3 linked regions of the Arabidopsis thaliana genome follow. The protein of the gene in region 1 purifies or fractionates together with the protein of each later gene. This does not show direct contact. Each region holds a gene or a part of one and is shown in the gene's direction. Other genes may lie near its edges.

Region 1 (5,295 bases):
AAACAAGAACTTATAGAATGATCTCAAACTTAACCTAATGGCATATCATATTTATTTAATGTATCTATATCAATGGAAACAAAATGCTATTGTTGTGTTTCTACATAGAAACGCAATGTTCACACTTCTACACAAATGACTTGATTGATTTAAAAGTGATTGATAGTAAATGCAGTATATCAATGCCATTATCATGTAAACAACTCTATATATCTTTTTCCCATAAAAATATAGTACGATATTCTAATGATACACTTGAAGAAGGTCTAAACTTTGTGTGAGATTTCTTACTCGAAAAAGAAAATCATTTAACTTGAGATTAATATAAATGTATTTGATTTCTTAAACGAGTCTTGGTTTTTGGTCAAAGGTGATGTATTTGATTTTTTAAATAATAGTATTTTATTTGTTATTATAGAAATGTATATTATATAGTGTAATTTTCGAAAATAAAATAAAAATAGTTGTCTTTCCCAAAATAAAAAAGGGAAGGGTATTATCATTCTTACTCGGAAGAATCGAAAATTAAGTCCATTTTTTTCTACTGTTTATCTTACACTATTTTTGTGGCAAATACAATAATACCTCTATATTATATAACTATTCTTATTGCCATACCACTGTACCTGTGAAGATTACGACAATGATAGTTTTTGTTCAGATTCAGTTCAAATTGGTTAACAATCAAATTACCGAGTTAACTAATACTTTATCTAGAGGTAGTGACAATAATAATCTTATTGGATGAAATTCATATTTTGCACGTTATAGTAACTCGTTAATTTTTTTATATGATATAATAAATGAGTTAAGACGGTAAATATAAATATATCACATAAGTTATAACTTATTGCGATTCAAAATGACTTAGCATGACATAATTATAAATTTATTGATATAAATATTTTGTTATCATGTTAACCTAATAAATATTACCGAGATATTTGTTATTGAAAACAAAAAAAACCCAAAGAATTTGAATAAGTACACATACACATGGATGAAAAACAATGATAGCCGTTGAACATAAGGCAACTTTCGATTTGGAACACGTGGCATTAATCCAACAGCTGATATGAACTAGGCAACTAGCTGTTAATTTTAAAGATATTATACAGACAATATATCCGCTCTTCTAGTCTTCAAAATCTCTATTATTCTTTATTTTTTCTTTTTTTCTTTGCCCTTGTAGTATAATATTCTAATGATACACTTGAAGAAAATCTAAACTTTGTGTGAGATTTCTTGCTTGAAAAAGAAAATCATTTAACTTGAGATTAATATAAACGAATCTTGGTCTTTGGTCAAAGGAGACATATTTGATTCTTTTAAATAGAAGTGTTTTATTTGTTTTTATAGAAATGAATATTATTTCATGGTGTAATTTTCAAAAATAAAATAAAAATAGTTGTCTTCCCCAAAATAGAATAAAAGAAAAAAAAATCAAAGAATTTGAATAAATCTATACATAGATGATATACAATTATAACCGTTGAATAGAAGACAACTTTCGATCTGGAACACGTGGCGTTGATCCAACGGCTGAGATGAACTAGCCGTTAATTTTAAAGAAAACTAATACACTATAGACGCTCTTCTAATCTTCAAAATCAATCTTACTCTTTTTTTTTTCTTTTTTTCTTTACCCTTATAAAGAGAGATAGAGAGAGAGTGGGAAGTATCTTCAAAACCGAAGCCATTAGAGAGAAAGAGAGCGTGGTTGAATCTTTGGGTTTTACTAAAAGATCTCTCTTTCTCTCCTTTGTTTGATCAACTTGGATCCAACGGGATAAAAGACTATTAGGGTTTAGGAGATTCACTGGGTTTCATAAGAATTTATGATCAAGGGTCGACTTAATCTCGCGTTGGTTCTTTGAATTGACTGTGAAAAGGTGATTTTTTTGAAAAACCAATTCGTGGGTTTTCGTTATCTTCTGGGTATTTGAGATTTAGGTCTTTGTTGTTCTTGATTGGGTCTTTCATTGAGATTATTAAACCGGATCTATAGGGTTTTGATTGTCAAGACTGTTTTTTTAGTTTCAATTTTGAAAACCCCTGCTTTTAAGTTGGGGGATGTTTCGATTTTGAAATTTGATTTCTTCAAGAGAAGAGATTTAATGAAAATAAATAACTTCCGCAGATAACGAAGAAGAAGAAAATGGTTAGATCAGATGAAAATAGCCTTGGATTAATCGGATCAATGAGTCTCCAAGGTACCCTAAATCGATCGATTTTGTTATTAAAAATCAAAACTTTCGTTCTCTTTGATTTTTCCCCCAAATTGATTTTGAATTTACTTGATGTAGGGGGAGGAGTAGTAGGAAAGATCAAGACGACGGCAACAACAGGACCGACAAGAAGAGCACTAAGTACTATTAACAAGAACATCACTGAAGCGCCGTCTTACCCTTATGCTGTCAACAAGAGATCAGTTTCTGAGTAAGTTCACTTTAATCCTCAGATTCAAGATTAGTGTTTTTTTTTTCTTCTCCCTTTGATTAGACTCTTATAGGAACCCTATTTCTTTCTGTGACTTTGCAGAAGAGATGGCATTTGTAATAAACCACCTGTGCATCGACCAGTTACTAGGTAAGCATAGATCTTTACTCTTGTCTACTTTGAGTATCTCACATTGTCTGATTACTTAACTTTTACTACTCTCTGTTGGTTCAGGAAGTTTGCTGCTCAGTTAGCAGATCATAAGCCACATATCCGTGATGAGGTACCCTATTGTTCAATGTATGTTTCATTTAGAGCAATGATGATATAGACCGGATTTTAAAGTTCTGATCTTTAACTCTTAGGAAACTAAGAAACCAGACTCAGTTTCAAGTGAAGAACCAGAGACGATTATCATTGATGTGGATGAAAGTGATAAAGAAGGAGGTGACTCTAATGAGCCAATGTTTGTACAACATACTGAAGCAATGCTGGAGGAGATTGAACAGATGGTATACATATTTCCTAACCATTCTTTGCTTTGTTTATGGAAGTGTTAATATAGTTACTCATATTGTTTGTGTCTTTCAAAAGGAGAAGGAGATTGAAATGGAAGATGCAGACAAAGAAGAAGAGCCTGTGATCGATATTGATGCCTGTGATAAGAATAATCCTTTGGCTGCGGTTGAATATATCCATGATATGCATACCTTCTACAAGAATTTTGAGGTGAATTTGTCTTGTTTCACATCAACTTTTGCTTTTGTGTTCTTTATCATCGAAAGGATTGTAGTTTCAAAATCTTGTACTTATGTTTGATTCATTCTTATGATTCTGCAGAAACTTAGTTGCGTGCCTCCTAACTATATGGACAATCAACAAGATCTTAATGAGAGAATGAGAGGAATCCTCATTGACTGGTTAATTGAGGTAGACAGATCTAGACAAAAGCTATTTAATGCCACTTTTTTTGTCTCAATGTGCCTGAAGATAAATTGACTGGAAAATTATCTTGTCCAGGTGCACTACAAGTTTGAACTGATGGAGGAAACTCTTTATCTCACAATCAATGTCATCGACAGATTCCTTGCGGTTCATCAAATCGTGAGGAAAAAGCTTCAGCTTGTTGGTGTTACTGCTTTGTTGCTTGCATGTAAATATGAAGAAGTTTCAGTTCCAGTGGTAGATGATCTCATCTTGATCTCTGACAAAGCTTACTCTAGAAGAGAAGTGCTAGATATGGTGAATACACAACTTTGTCTTGATCATTAACTACCACTGGTTGATGCTTCATAGTTGAATTTACCTGTTTTTGGTTTCTATTGCAGGAGAAGCTAATGGCCAACACCTTGCAATTCAATTTCTCTCTACCAACTCCATATGTTTTCATGAAACGATTTCTCAAAGCTGCCCAATCTGACAAGAAGGTATATATCTCCCTAACTAAAAAAGCTTGAATCATTATATCCGGAAACCATCAGGCCTAATATCTAAATCGGTGTGGTATATGCAATTGTGGTTTCAGCTTGAGATTTTATCATTCTTTATGATCGAGCTTTGCCTTGTGGAGTATGAGATGCTAGAGTATCTTCCATCTAAGCTGGCGGCCTCAGCAATCTACACTGCTCAGTGTACACTTAAGGGATTTGAAGAATGGAGCAAAACCTGTGAGTTTCACACAGGCTACAACGAAAAACAGCTACTGTAAGAACATACATTGATTTTTTTGAAAACCCCATGACATGAGATTTTGGTATCCTGACAGTGGGTTTTTGTGTTTTTTCTAGGGCATGTGCGAGAAAGATGGTTGCTTTCCATCACAAGGCAGGAACAGGGAAGCTCACAGGAGTTCACAGAAAGTACAACACATCTAAGTTCTGTCATGCTGCAAGAACTGAACCAGCTGGGTTTCTGATTTAATATTAATAAGAATCTAATATGACTTAACTCGAGTTTTTCTTTAGAACAAAAAGAGTGTGAGAGAAAGAGAGATAGTAGAGCAAGTTGCCCAAAATGGGAGAAGAATGGATCTTTAGATATCATGGCAAGTAGCCCAAAAAGAGTGTATTCTTCTCTTTCTAAGGTCTTTAGATCTTTCTTCACTTGAGAGAGAATAAAAAGAATCTTCTGATATCATGCTTTCCTATATTCAACTTGTGAATCGATTCTTGTATAGACTCAGGAAAATCTATGATCCAGTTTGGTTAATATTACTCGGGAGCTGAACCTCTAGACTGAATCAAATATTCTTCTACATGTCGTTTTGGTACTCTGGAACTGAATCTCTAGACCCTATCAAATATTCTACAAGTACATGGCAATTTTTTGGATTGTAATTTGGGAAAATTGCAGTTGACAAGGTTTTTACATGATGAAAATACAAGTACAATATTCTTTTATAGCTTATATATTAATGTTATAAATGACCATATAGACTACGTTATTTAGACAACTCAAAGTCTACAGTATTGCAGTCTTTATTGAAGGAGGATATAATCATTACTTCTAGTATTTCATAATCTTGTTCCTTCAATTTATCTTTGTTTTCTGATCTTAGTCTTATTAAGACCTTTATGAAAACAATGTACTTTGTTTTACTCATCTACTGTCAGAAATGGAGAATGCGCAAAGAAGAAAATAGATCACAACGAAAACTTGTCAATGATTCAAACATCTTGGTAACCCAAAATACAGAACTAGTAGTGCATCTGGACATATCTCTCTTGTTCTCCTTTGTTTGGTTTTACAGTGTTCTCTAAGAAGTGTTGCAGCACCTGACTTTGCTGCCTCGAATGAAGACATGCTCAAGCTGTGATACCTTACCATCCTGTAACATAGCAATGAAAAACCGAAAAC
Region 2 (5,494 bases), on another chromosome or scaffold:
CATCTTTGCTTCAGTCATGGTCCGAGCTATCGAGGTCCTTAAGAATTCTTGGGAGGAGTTGTGTTCAAACATCCGATCGGGCCATCTCAGTAACTGGGTCACAGACTTGGGTTGTCAAAACTCTGTTTCTTTGGTTCTTGGAGGGCCACGTCCTGAATTAGCAGACACTATTGAAGAAATATGCAACCAAAATTCTTGGAAAGGTATAGTCAAAAGACTTTGGCCAAACACCAAATATATCGAAACCGTTGTCACTGGTTCAATGGGACAGTACGTTCCCATGTTGAACTACTATTGTAACGACTTGCCTCTCGTTTCAACAACTTACGGTTCTTCGGAGACTACCTTTGGGATCAATCTAGATCCTCTGTGCAAACCTGAAGATGTTTCTTACACTTTCATGCCCAACATGTCTTACTTTGAGTTCATACCAATGGATGGAGGAGACAAGAACGATGTGGTTGACCTAGAAGATGTGAAACTTGGGTGCACTTATGAACCCGTTGTCACAAATTTCGCTGGTGAGCTTAAAAACATCGATCATGAATTCAATAAAATGCATACTTTTTTCTACATGGTTTAACTAATGTTTGTGAAAATGTTTTTTTTTTCTTCAGGCTTGTATAGGATGAGAGTGGGAGATATTGTTTTGGTGACTGGTTTCTACAACAACGCGCCTCAGTTTAAGTTTGTAAGAAGAGAAAACGTCGTCTTAAGCATCGATTCCGATAAAACTAACGAAGAAGATCTGTTTAAGGCTGTGAGTCAAGCGAAGCTCGTACTCGAGTCATCAGGTCTCGATCTGAAAGACTTCACCAGTTATGCTGACACCTCAACATTTCCAGGTCACTACGTGGTTTACTTGGAAGTAGATACCAAAGAGGGAGAGGAGAAGGAGACGGCACAGTTTGAGCTCGATGAAGAGGCACTCTCCACGTGTTGTTTGGTAATGGAGGAGTCGCTTGATAATGTTTACAAGAGATGTCGATTCAAAGACGGATCGATCGGGCCTCTCGAGATAAGAGTGGTGCGTCAAGGAACGTTTGATTCTCTCATGGACTTCTTCATCTCACAAGGTGCTTCCACCGGTCAATACAAGACTCCTAGATGCATTAAGTCAGGGAAAGCCTTGCAAGTATTGGAGACATGTGTGGTAGCCAAATTCTTCAGTATTTGATTGTTCTTCCTTGGTTTTATATAGGTTCAAGTGATTTGTCTTCTTTTTTTTTCCATAAAGGGTTTGGTTCAATTGATTTGTTGTGATTTGAGAGTGTACTAATTTGTCTGAATGTTTGTTTATATTTTTTTAATATATATATTTGATTCAGTCTTTATCTGATTTTCCTCTTTAAACGGAAAACACCATTGAGAATTTCCGAGTCTTTACTCAGAAACAGAGTATTTTATTCCATTGAACTGAAGTTGGCAAAGACTTGGAAGATGGCCAAACAACTTTGAGATGAAACCAAACCCTTCGTTACACTTCACCACCCTGAGCCATGAGTCCATGACTAACAACAAGTACCAAAATAACAATCCGGTTTCGTTTTCTTTCGGTTCGTGTGTTTTTCAAAAACCAGGTAAACCATGTGTAGTTTGGTTTTGTTTTGGTTATGATGATTTTAGCATAATTTTAGTAGAGTGTCCAAAACACAAAATTTTATATGCAGTTTAGTACCTGACTAATCTTGCAGCTTTTAGAAAAATAATTGCAACTTTGCAAAATTCTCTCCAAGCAAAAGAAAAGATTGGACTCGTCAATAGAAGCAGGCCCGGTCCAAAAGGTGGTACATACAGGCGACGGCCCAAAGGCCCAATTTATCCGGAATTAATATAAAATATGGTTAACTGTAAATATATGATTTTCAAATGGATACACTCATACAAGCTTTGATTCCTAAAATTAGATTACAAAAATTATTTTTCGTACTTTGCTGCATATATAATAATTGATTTGTACATAACAAATCAATTATACGATCGAATTTCAAAATTTTAATAGATAATATACTGGAACAAATACATATACAAATATACCAATAAAAATAAAACTGACCCAATTAGTTTATTTTATTTTTTAGTAAAAAAACAGATGAAAAATTAGAAATGTTGGGTCCGCACTCATTCCTTATTTGTGCATAACACTGCTGCCAAAACATGCGAAGCTAATAAGCTCCCAAAAAAGTTTAAAGATTGAGAAAAAGAAAAAGAGAACTATGAACTCAAAGAACGGTCCTACCCCGCACCATTCCAAAGATTTTAATTAATATTTTTATCATCTATTTTTTCTTGTAGATCCTTCTCTTTATAAAACCCTTTTGTCACCTCTTCTTTCCTCATAACATCACATCATAGCCTAAACCAAAGAAAACCCTTATTTGCGATCCCCACTTGTTGTTCATCACCAAGCCAAGCTCCATGTCCTAGTCACTCCACAGATTCCCTATCATCATCAATTCGTTTCAAACTTAGTTCCTTTCAAAGTCTTGTACATATATACACACACACCTATTATTCTCTTGGTGTGTTTGTGTGTTACATATACGTGTGAGTACATACTTTGTTGTAAAAGTGGATCGGAGGTATGGAAAGGGACCGGTTCCACCGGAAACATCGGCGGCGGCGGATGATAATTCGTCTTGGAACGAGACTGATGTCACCGCCATGGTCTCCGCTCTCAGCCGTGTCATAGAGAATCCGACAGACCCGCCGGTCAAACAAGAGCTTGATAAATCGGATCAACATCAACCAGACCAAGGTAACTAATACAATAATTATATCTTGATCATATGACAGCTTAATTGTTTTTAGCTAGTTGATGTAACTTTGTTATAATAAGTTACACACTAACTAAAGACTTACTATTAATAACCCTTTGTCGAATTTTTCTTTCTTAATTATTATATTTGGGAAAAAAGGAATTTGTGTAGGTTAGAATTCAAGTTCAAGTTCAATGCATCTTTCATTTAATTTACTTTCCGTAAAGAACTTTCCTTCTTGTTTTTGAATTGAACCACCGATCAGCATACAACGTGTCTATCCTCTTTTTTAATATATACATCTAGATTTGATTTTTGTTTGTTTGTTTGTTTGTTTCAAAGTACAAGTTAGATAATATTTTATTGACTCCATGTCTTAAGTCGTCAAACATATATACATATGGCTTCTTACCTAACTGATTAGAGTAATTTTGACCACGCATGTTCCTTTTGTTCATTTTGAAAATTTAGTTATCTTAGATATCATTCTCTATCAACTTTATGGTTGTCCTTTTATCAATATTTTGAAGTATTTCTTTCCACATGATTAACTCGTTTTTAAGCTTCGTTAGTTAGAAGCCAAAATATGTCAAAATGACACATACGCATGGTCTTTATCAAAACTCATGACGAATTAGTTTTAATTATCCTTTTATTTCATTTACACTTTTTATTATTTGAATGCTAAGTTAATCATATGTAGAAACAAAAATCCAGTTATTCTTTCTAGCTAGATACCGTAACTTTTATTTTTGGGACAAAACATTGAATTGACGAGGATTTCTTTTGAGTTTTGAGAATGAATCTTCAATTGTTTAACCAAATATATATGTTTTGCTCAGTATTATTAGTTTATTTGTGTGAATTTTGATATGTCAATATGTAGCTGCTTGACTTTCTGAATATTTCGCTGGTCTGACAGAAAAAAAGAAGAAGAATATTTCGTTGCTTAAAACTGATAAAAGTAATAAATATAGCAATGAATCAATTATTCAACTGGATTGACTCTATTAATAGGAACAGCTTTATAGAAAAATTGTATATATGATTCAAGCTTTGATTTTCGGTTCAGTCCAAATGTCTAGTAATTACAGAAAATGTAAACCACATACTTGAACTTCAGGTTTGATTGCCTGTATATATATTTGATTCCATCAAAACTAAAAAGTTAAAAATGTAATTTTATGAGAGGAATAGTATATAGTCTATCGTGCAAAGTTAAGTAATCCACATAGTTGATACGTTTTAAGTATTATTGTATGCATCATCTTTAGTTAAATCCTTCATTCTTTTCGTCTAAATCATATATATTAAACAATTATTCTCTTGCTATAACCAATCGTTGAAATCCCACGTAGCAATAATTCTTCTCATGCATGTAGAATTGCACATGCAATATGTAATTTTTGTTTTAATTTCTTGTTTCATGTTCTTCAAGATCAACCAAGAAGAAGACACTATAGAGGCGTAAGGCAGAGACCATGGGGTAAATGGGCGGCAGAAATCCGCGATCCAAAGAAAGCAGCCCGTGTCTGGCTCGGGACTTTCGAGACGGCAGAGGAAGCTGCTTTAGCCTATGACCGAGCTGCCCTCAAATTCAAAGGCACCAAGGCTAAACTGAACTTCCCTGAACGGGTCCAAGGCCCTACTACCACCACAACCATTTCTCATGCACCAAGAGGAGTTAGTGAATCCATGAACTCACCTCCTCCTCGACCTGGTCCACCTTCAACTACTACTACTTCGTGGCCAATGACTTATAACCAGGACATACTTCAATACGCTCAGTTGCTTACGAGTAACAATGAGGTTGATTTATCATACTACACGTCGACTCTCTTCAGTCAACCTTTTTCAACGCCTTCTTCATCTTCTTCTTCCTCCCAACAGACGCAGCAACAGCAGCTACAACAACAACAACAGCAGCGTGAAGAAGAAGAGAAGAATTATGGTTACAATTATTATAACTACCCAAGAGAATAATCTAATTATTATTGTTGGTCGAATCAGTTTTATAAATAGCTATCATAGTTTCATTTTTGGTTTCCGTAACCTTTGTTGCATGGAAAATATGAATGAACGAGGGACATGTGTAACAATTTGTTTGTGTTTCGTAAATGTTAGTTGTATTTGGATTTGCTGAAGTTTGATTTTCTGAGCATAAATCATTTGACGGTCATTCATGAGACATAAATTGACTCTTTAGAGCTAACCAGATATGAGTAATTAAACATAATCCAAAACTAGATTTCAACTATGCGGAACCTTGACAATATAGCGGCAACCCATACACAAACCTCTATCATCGACAACCTCAACGAACACGTACGAACCACAATACACCGTTTATTTACCGTCGGATATATCCAATTGCAAGCAACAATCCTAATTTACTATAAATATATATATATATATATATATATAATAAATTACGTAGACTAAATTCAAACAAAAATAAACGTGCAGATCTTGTTTAACAAAAATAAATAAATACACTAATTTACTTAGACTAAACAGCTTGTTTGCATCAAACTAAAGTAATAAAACATCAAAAATAGGGAAATAATTAGTAATGCAGTATCCTTCCCCATACTTATATCTTTTCTAATCTATGAGCAAATCATTAACCAAATTTGGGTGATACTATTATTCCATAAACATCAAAATATCAAAAGAAAAGAGAAAGCAAAAATCAAAGTACAAAAAGATTGAGGGGAATGTTACTCGAGCTTTAG
Region 3 (5,191 bases), 380 kb from region 1:
TGATAAGAGCCACTTAAATTTAGCTGAAAAAAGAATAATACCATAAGAGATATTATCGTCTTCTTTTGGGATAAAATTCCAATATCCCTATCTCTGCATTGATTCTCATTCATAGTTGTACATTTTTATCCAATCCTTTCTTGTTTTATGAAAATGAATTCATTTTAATAATTATAAGTTATAACAAATTATATGTTTTTTTTGTCAAAAATATAGTAAAGTGTATGTTTCATTATTTCTTTTTCTTAACAGAAATTATATATGTATAATTGATTCTGATAATTATACAAGAATTTGGAGATTCAGTGTGGTCTCATAGCATAATAATGTCTTTTTGCACCATTCCTCTATGGTGCAGCAAAAACACCACATAACGTTTATTGTGAAAAGTTTTAAGACACGTCGTACTACAATCTCTTCCAATATAAGTTAGAAGATTACACGACTCATCTAAATTATGTGGTTTTTACTCCATATTGACTAGAGTGAGAGTGATGACCACACCATTCACCATATCCTACTCTCTATAGGTTTTTGTTAGCTATGAGAGAAATAGTTTCGGTCACTATGGCAAATTTAATCCCGACATGAATGAATTATGATGTTTTGGTGAAGGACATTTTTGAGAACAACTAATTGAGTCTTCATAGATAATACATGATCCGAGTTTGGATATTGGATGCACGAGTTTTTGATGTAGTCACCTTTGTTATCACTCATTCTTACTCAAGTACTAGGTAATTTGTTTTTAGTTTTTAGTATTAGTTACTAGTTAGACCATTTTATTTTGTGTGGATTGTATATTACTATATTTGTATGTATCATTTTTGTGCTTACTATATCAAAGAATTGCCATGATTACCGCAACTATACGAAACCTTTATCTACTTCTGACTTAGAAACACTAGTTACAATTTGGAAAGAACGCAAACTTATTTAGAAAAATGCACTCACGCCGCCTAACTTTGACATACAGTAAAACCTCTATAAATTAATAATATTTGGACCAATAAAATTTATTAATTTAGAGAGGTATTAATTTATCGATAAATAAATAAAATTGTACAAATTTTGTAAATTCTTACAAAAATTCGATATAAAATATAGTTTTTTTCCCTATAATCAATAGTATTTCTAAAACCAATTACAAGTAGAAAGCAATTATTAAGTTTGAAAAACAATACAATTTTTTCGATATTGTAAAATATTAGAATTGAACACTACAAAGAATTAACAAAAATTGAAGAAAAACATTACTAGACTCATATTTTACATATGATATTTATAATATATATTGATAAATTTATATAATTATTAATTTATACTATTGATGGACCATATAATTATATAAGATTTTCAAAAATATTATTATCTTATTAATTTATCGATTTTTATCAATTTTTACATTGGTCCCAACTTGCTCAGAATCTGTGCTCATTCTTATGCATTCTAAAGAACTTGCTCAGACTCTCTGCTCATTACAGCAAAACTTCTATAAATTAATACTTGAAAAATTTATTAATTTTTCAAGTATTAATTTATAGAAGTTTTGCTGTATATGTTTGGCTTATGATGTGTAATTTGTTTGAAATTGGAGGGAAATGATGGGACTCTGAGCACAGGGTCAAAAGAGAAACTTTAGAATGCATAAGAATGATTTAAGTATTATTTCTAAACTTGAGGGTTCTTTTTGAAAATTACAAATAAACGGCAAGCCAACCCTAATTCGAGTCCCATTTCTGTGATCTTGACCTCTTCCTTTCTCACTCAATTTCTGAGCTAAAGTTAGGGTTTTGCCGAGATTTATCGTCCTTCTGTTAAACTCTTCGGAGAAAGATGAAATCTTTCCTCCTCTCTAGACAAGCGATCCACCGTATTTCACTATTATCTTCAAAAACCCCAACTTTCTGCAGAAACTTCTCCGCCATTACATCCACCATTTCTCACTCTGATCGTCATCTAAGAAGCTACGACGAACAAACCCCATTCCAAAATGTCGAAATCCCTAGACCCATTTCATCATTCAATCGATATTTCCACTTTACTCGCGAGTCCCGACTCAGTGAATCCAGTGCCGCCATTGACGACTCAAATGACCAAGAGGAAGATGACGAAGATGGAACAACAAACGAGTTCCTCTCACGATTCGTTTGGATAATGCGTGGGAAAGTCTCAGAAGCTTACCCAGATTGTGACAAGAAGATGATTGATGGTATGCTTCTGCTTATTGTTGAGAAAGTCGTGGAAGAAATCGAAAGAGGTGGATTCAATAAAGTTGGATCAGCTCCACCTTCACCGTCATCGGAGTTTAGCGATGATCTATGGGCTACTATCTGGGAAGTTAGTAATACAGTGTTGAAAGATATGGAGAAAGAGAGGAAGAAGGAGAAGATGAAGCAATACGTTCAATCTCCTGAAGTGATGGAGATGTGTAGGTTTGCTGGAGAGATTGGTATTCGTGGTGATTTGCTTAGAGAACTTAGATTTAAATGGGCAAGAGAGAAAATGGACGACGCTGAGTTTTATGAGAGTTTGGAACAGCAACGTGATTTGGATAATTCGATTAGGGAATCTGAAACTGTGGATGGAGAAGTAGAAGAAGAAGGGTTTGTTCCTTCTGATGAAGTTGAATCTAGGAGTATCTCCCTTCCTAAACGAAAGGGGAAGTTGAAGTACAAGATCTACGGGCTTGAGTTGTCGGATCCGAAATGGGTTGAAATGGCTGATAAAATTCATGAAGCTGAGGAAGAGGCTGATTGGAGAGAGCCTAAACCTGTAACTGGAAAGTGCAAATTGGTTATGGAGAAGCTTGAGTCTTTGCAGGAGGGAGATGATCCTTCAGGGTTGCTTGCTGAATGGGCTGAGTTATTGGAGCCTAACCGTGTGGATTGGATTGCTTTAATTAATCAGTTGCGAGAAGGAAACACTCATGCATACTTAAAGGTTAGACTTTAGTTTCAATCATTAAAATGACTTCCGCTAGATTGTTCTTCTGAAATTCATAATCAAATCAAACTTTGATGCATATTTGTTTGTTGTATTGGCCTACTTCTATAGTGTTGGTTCTTGACTGATTTCCCCAATTGTTCGATTTAAGCTTTTTTGCTAATTGGATTGCTATGGAGGTCATTTGATGGGGTGGAAGTTCTGTGGTTTGATTTCGTTACTTCTTTTAATGGGATTCTTGTTGTTGTTTTATTTGTTACTCTAGGTAGTTTGTTCAATCAAGATGGTGGTACTTGTATGCATATGTCTAACATGGGTTTGGAAGAGATGATTTTTAATCAATTGGTACTGGTTTTGATGTTTCAACAGGTGGCAGAGGGTGTCCTGGATGAAAAATCGTTCAACGCTAGCATCTCGGACTACTCAAAACTCATCCATATCCATGCTAAAGAGAATCACATTGAAGATGTTGAGAGGATTCTAAAGAAAATGTCTCAAAATGGGATCTTTCCAGACATTTTAACCGCCACTGCGTTGGTTCATATGTACAGTAAATCAGGCAACTTTGAGCGAGCAACAGAGGCATTTGAAAACTTGAAGAGCTATGGGTTACGGCCAGACGAGAAGATCTACGAAGCCATGATCCTGGGCTATGTAAACGCTGGCAAGCCTAAACTAGGTGAGAGGTTGATGAAAGAGATGCAAGCAAAGGAGTTGAAAGCCTCAGAAGAAGTTTACATGGCTCTGCTTCGAGCTTATGCACAAATGGGAGATGCCAATGGAGCTGCGGGGATTTCTTCTTCAATGCAGTATGCATCAGACGGTCCACTGAGCTTTGAAGCATATAGTTTATTTGTGGAAGCATATGGGAAAGCAGGTCAGGTGGATAAAGCGAAAAGTAACTTTGATGAAATGAGAAAGCTTGGCCACAAACCCGATGACAAGTGCATTGCAAATTTGGTCCGAGCTTATAAGGGAGAGAACTCATTAGATAAGGCACTGAGACTTTTGTTGCAGCTGGAGAAAGATGGGATTGAAATTGGTGTGATCACTTACACCGTTCTTGTTGATTGGATGGCTAATCTTGGGCTTATCGAGGAAGCTGAGCAGCTTCTGGTTAAGATCTCTCAGTTAGGAGAAGCTCCACCATTTGAACTCCAGGTGAGCTTGTGCTGTATGTATTCGGGTGTGAGGAATGAGAAGAAGACTCTTCAAGCTCTTGGGGTTTTGGAAGCTAAGAGAGATCAAATGGGACCTAACGAGTTTGACAAAGTTATAAGTGCGTTGAAAAGGGGTGGGTTTGAAAAAGATGCGAGAAGAATGTACAAGTATATGGAAGCTCGAAAGTTTTTACCTTCACAGAGATTGCAGATGGATATGGTTGCACCACCTCGAGCTTTTGGGTCTGGATCTGGTAGAGTGAGACGATTTAACTCGTAAGTGGAAAAATCTTTTGAAACTTATTCACCATCGTGTGTTCAATGTTCTGAGCCAACTCACATTACGAGTTTCCATTGATTAAACTGTAGTTGTGTTCTGTAATAATCTTGTTCCTTGGAATTTTGGAATCTATTTACTGCTTCTTTTTAGCTATGAGATTTTTCTTATAATCCATTTCCAAGAAGAACTCTTTTCTGAAATCAACTTTCTATTTGGTTTCTCAACATTTTCCTTCGTTTCTTCCATCTGAATGTATTTTTCATGGAAACGATCAGTTTCATTTCGTGTCCGAAAAGTTATTATGTTTCCTCTTTCATAGAGAAACATATAAATACCATAGGTTCTCTCTTTTGAACATTCTCCTCTCGGATCATTACAATTTTGCCAATTATTGACAAAATCGCCTAAACCGATCACAGTGTAGGCCGGGACAAGATTGATTTTTATTAGGAAAATTAAACGGATACTTGAATTTAATTTCTTTTGTTAACTAACTTTGTTTCTTTGTGATCTCAATTTCCTTTTGACGTATACCTCAACTTTGTAAAAAGCGAACATACAATTTCTTTTATCAAGTAGATATAACTTCAAGAAATTCGAAGAGATAATGTACATGTGTGAATTGTGATGTGTCTGCCACGCATCGTACACGTGTCGCTGTCAGCAATGAAAAAGTCAGAACAATCCATTAACGAGCTAAGACAAAAACAAAAAGTGTTGAATCCAGTTGTTTATGCAAGTTAAGCCGACTAATTTAGTATTGTTATGCAGCTAAATCTGTTTTGGATCGAAGTGTCCATCTTAA

The links. The genes of interacting proteins can lie anywhere in the genome.
Region 2: the proteins of CYCB2;3 (region 1) and Rap2.6L purify together in Arabidopsis thaliana (affinity purification with mass spectrometry, with the first as the bait; one large-scale study listed by BioGRID). This does not show direct contact.
Region 3: the proteins of CYCB2;3 (region 1) and NFD5 purify together in Arabidopsis thaliana (affinity purification with mass spectrometry, with the first as the bait; one large-scale study listed by BioGRID). This does not show direct contact.

What each region holds. Positions count from the first base shown.
Region 1 is NC_003070.9:7,134,137-7,139,431, reverse strand, and holds CYCB2;3 (Cyclin B2;3), read left to right. Parts: upstream 1-1,603; 5' UTR 1,604-1,892; intron 1,893-2,140; 5' UTR 2,141-2,158; coding exon 2,159-2,213; intron 2,214-2,306; coding exon 2,307-2,439; intron 2,440-2,541; coding exon 2,542-2,589; intron 2,590-2,673; coding exon 2,674-2,722; intron 2,723-2,804; coding exon 2,805-2,951; intron 2,952-3,033; coding exon 3,034-3,168; intron 3,169-3,279; coding exon 3,280-3,369; intron 3,370-3,459; coding exon 3,460-3,681; intron 3,682-3,767; coding exon 3,768-3,866; intron 3,867-3,964; coding exon 3,965-4,143; intron 4,144-4,226; coding exon 4,227-4,359; 3' UTR 4,360-4,773; downstream 4,774-5,295. Other genes in the region: AT1G20600 (AP2/B3-like transcriptional factor family protein), read right to left, coding at 5,195-5,266.
Region 2 is NC_003076.8:4,269,720-4,275,213, forward strand, and holds Rap2.6L (uncharacterized protein), read left to right. Parts: upstream 1-2,010; 5' UTR 2,011-2,664; coding exon 2,665-2,758; intron 2,759-4,197; coding exon 4,198-4,742; 3' UTR 4,743-4,955; downstream 4,956-5,494. Other genes in the region: PBS3 (Auxin-responsive GH3 family protein), read left to right, coding at 1-521, 618-1,177.
Region 3 is NC_003070.9:6,758,196-6,763,386, forward strand, and holds NFD5 (pentatricopeptide (PPR) repeat-containing protein), read left to right. Parts: upstream 1-1,663; 5' UTR 1,664-1,836; coding exon 1,837-2,943; coding exon of another isoform or gene 2,944-2,955; exon of another isoform or gene 2,956-3,315; coding exon 3,316-4,386; 3' UTR 4,387-4,652; downstream 4,653-5,191. UniProt on the Arabidopsis thaliana protein: Required for karyogamy during female gametophyte development, when the two polar nuclei fuse to form the diploid central cell nucleus.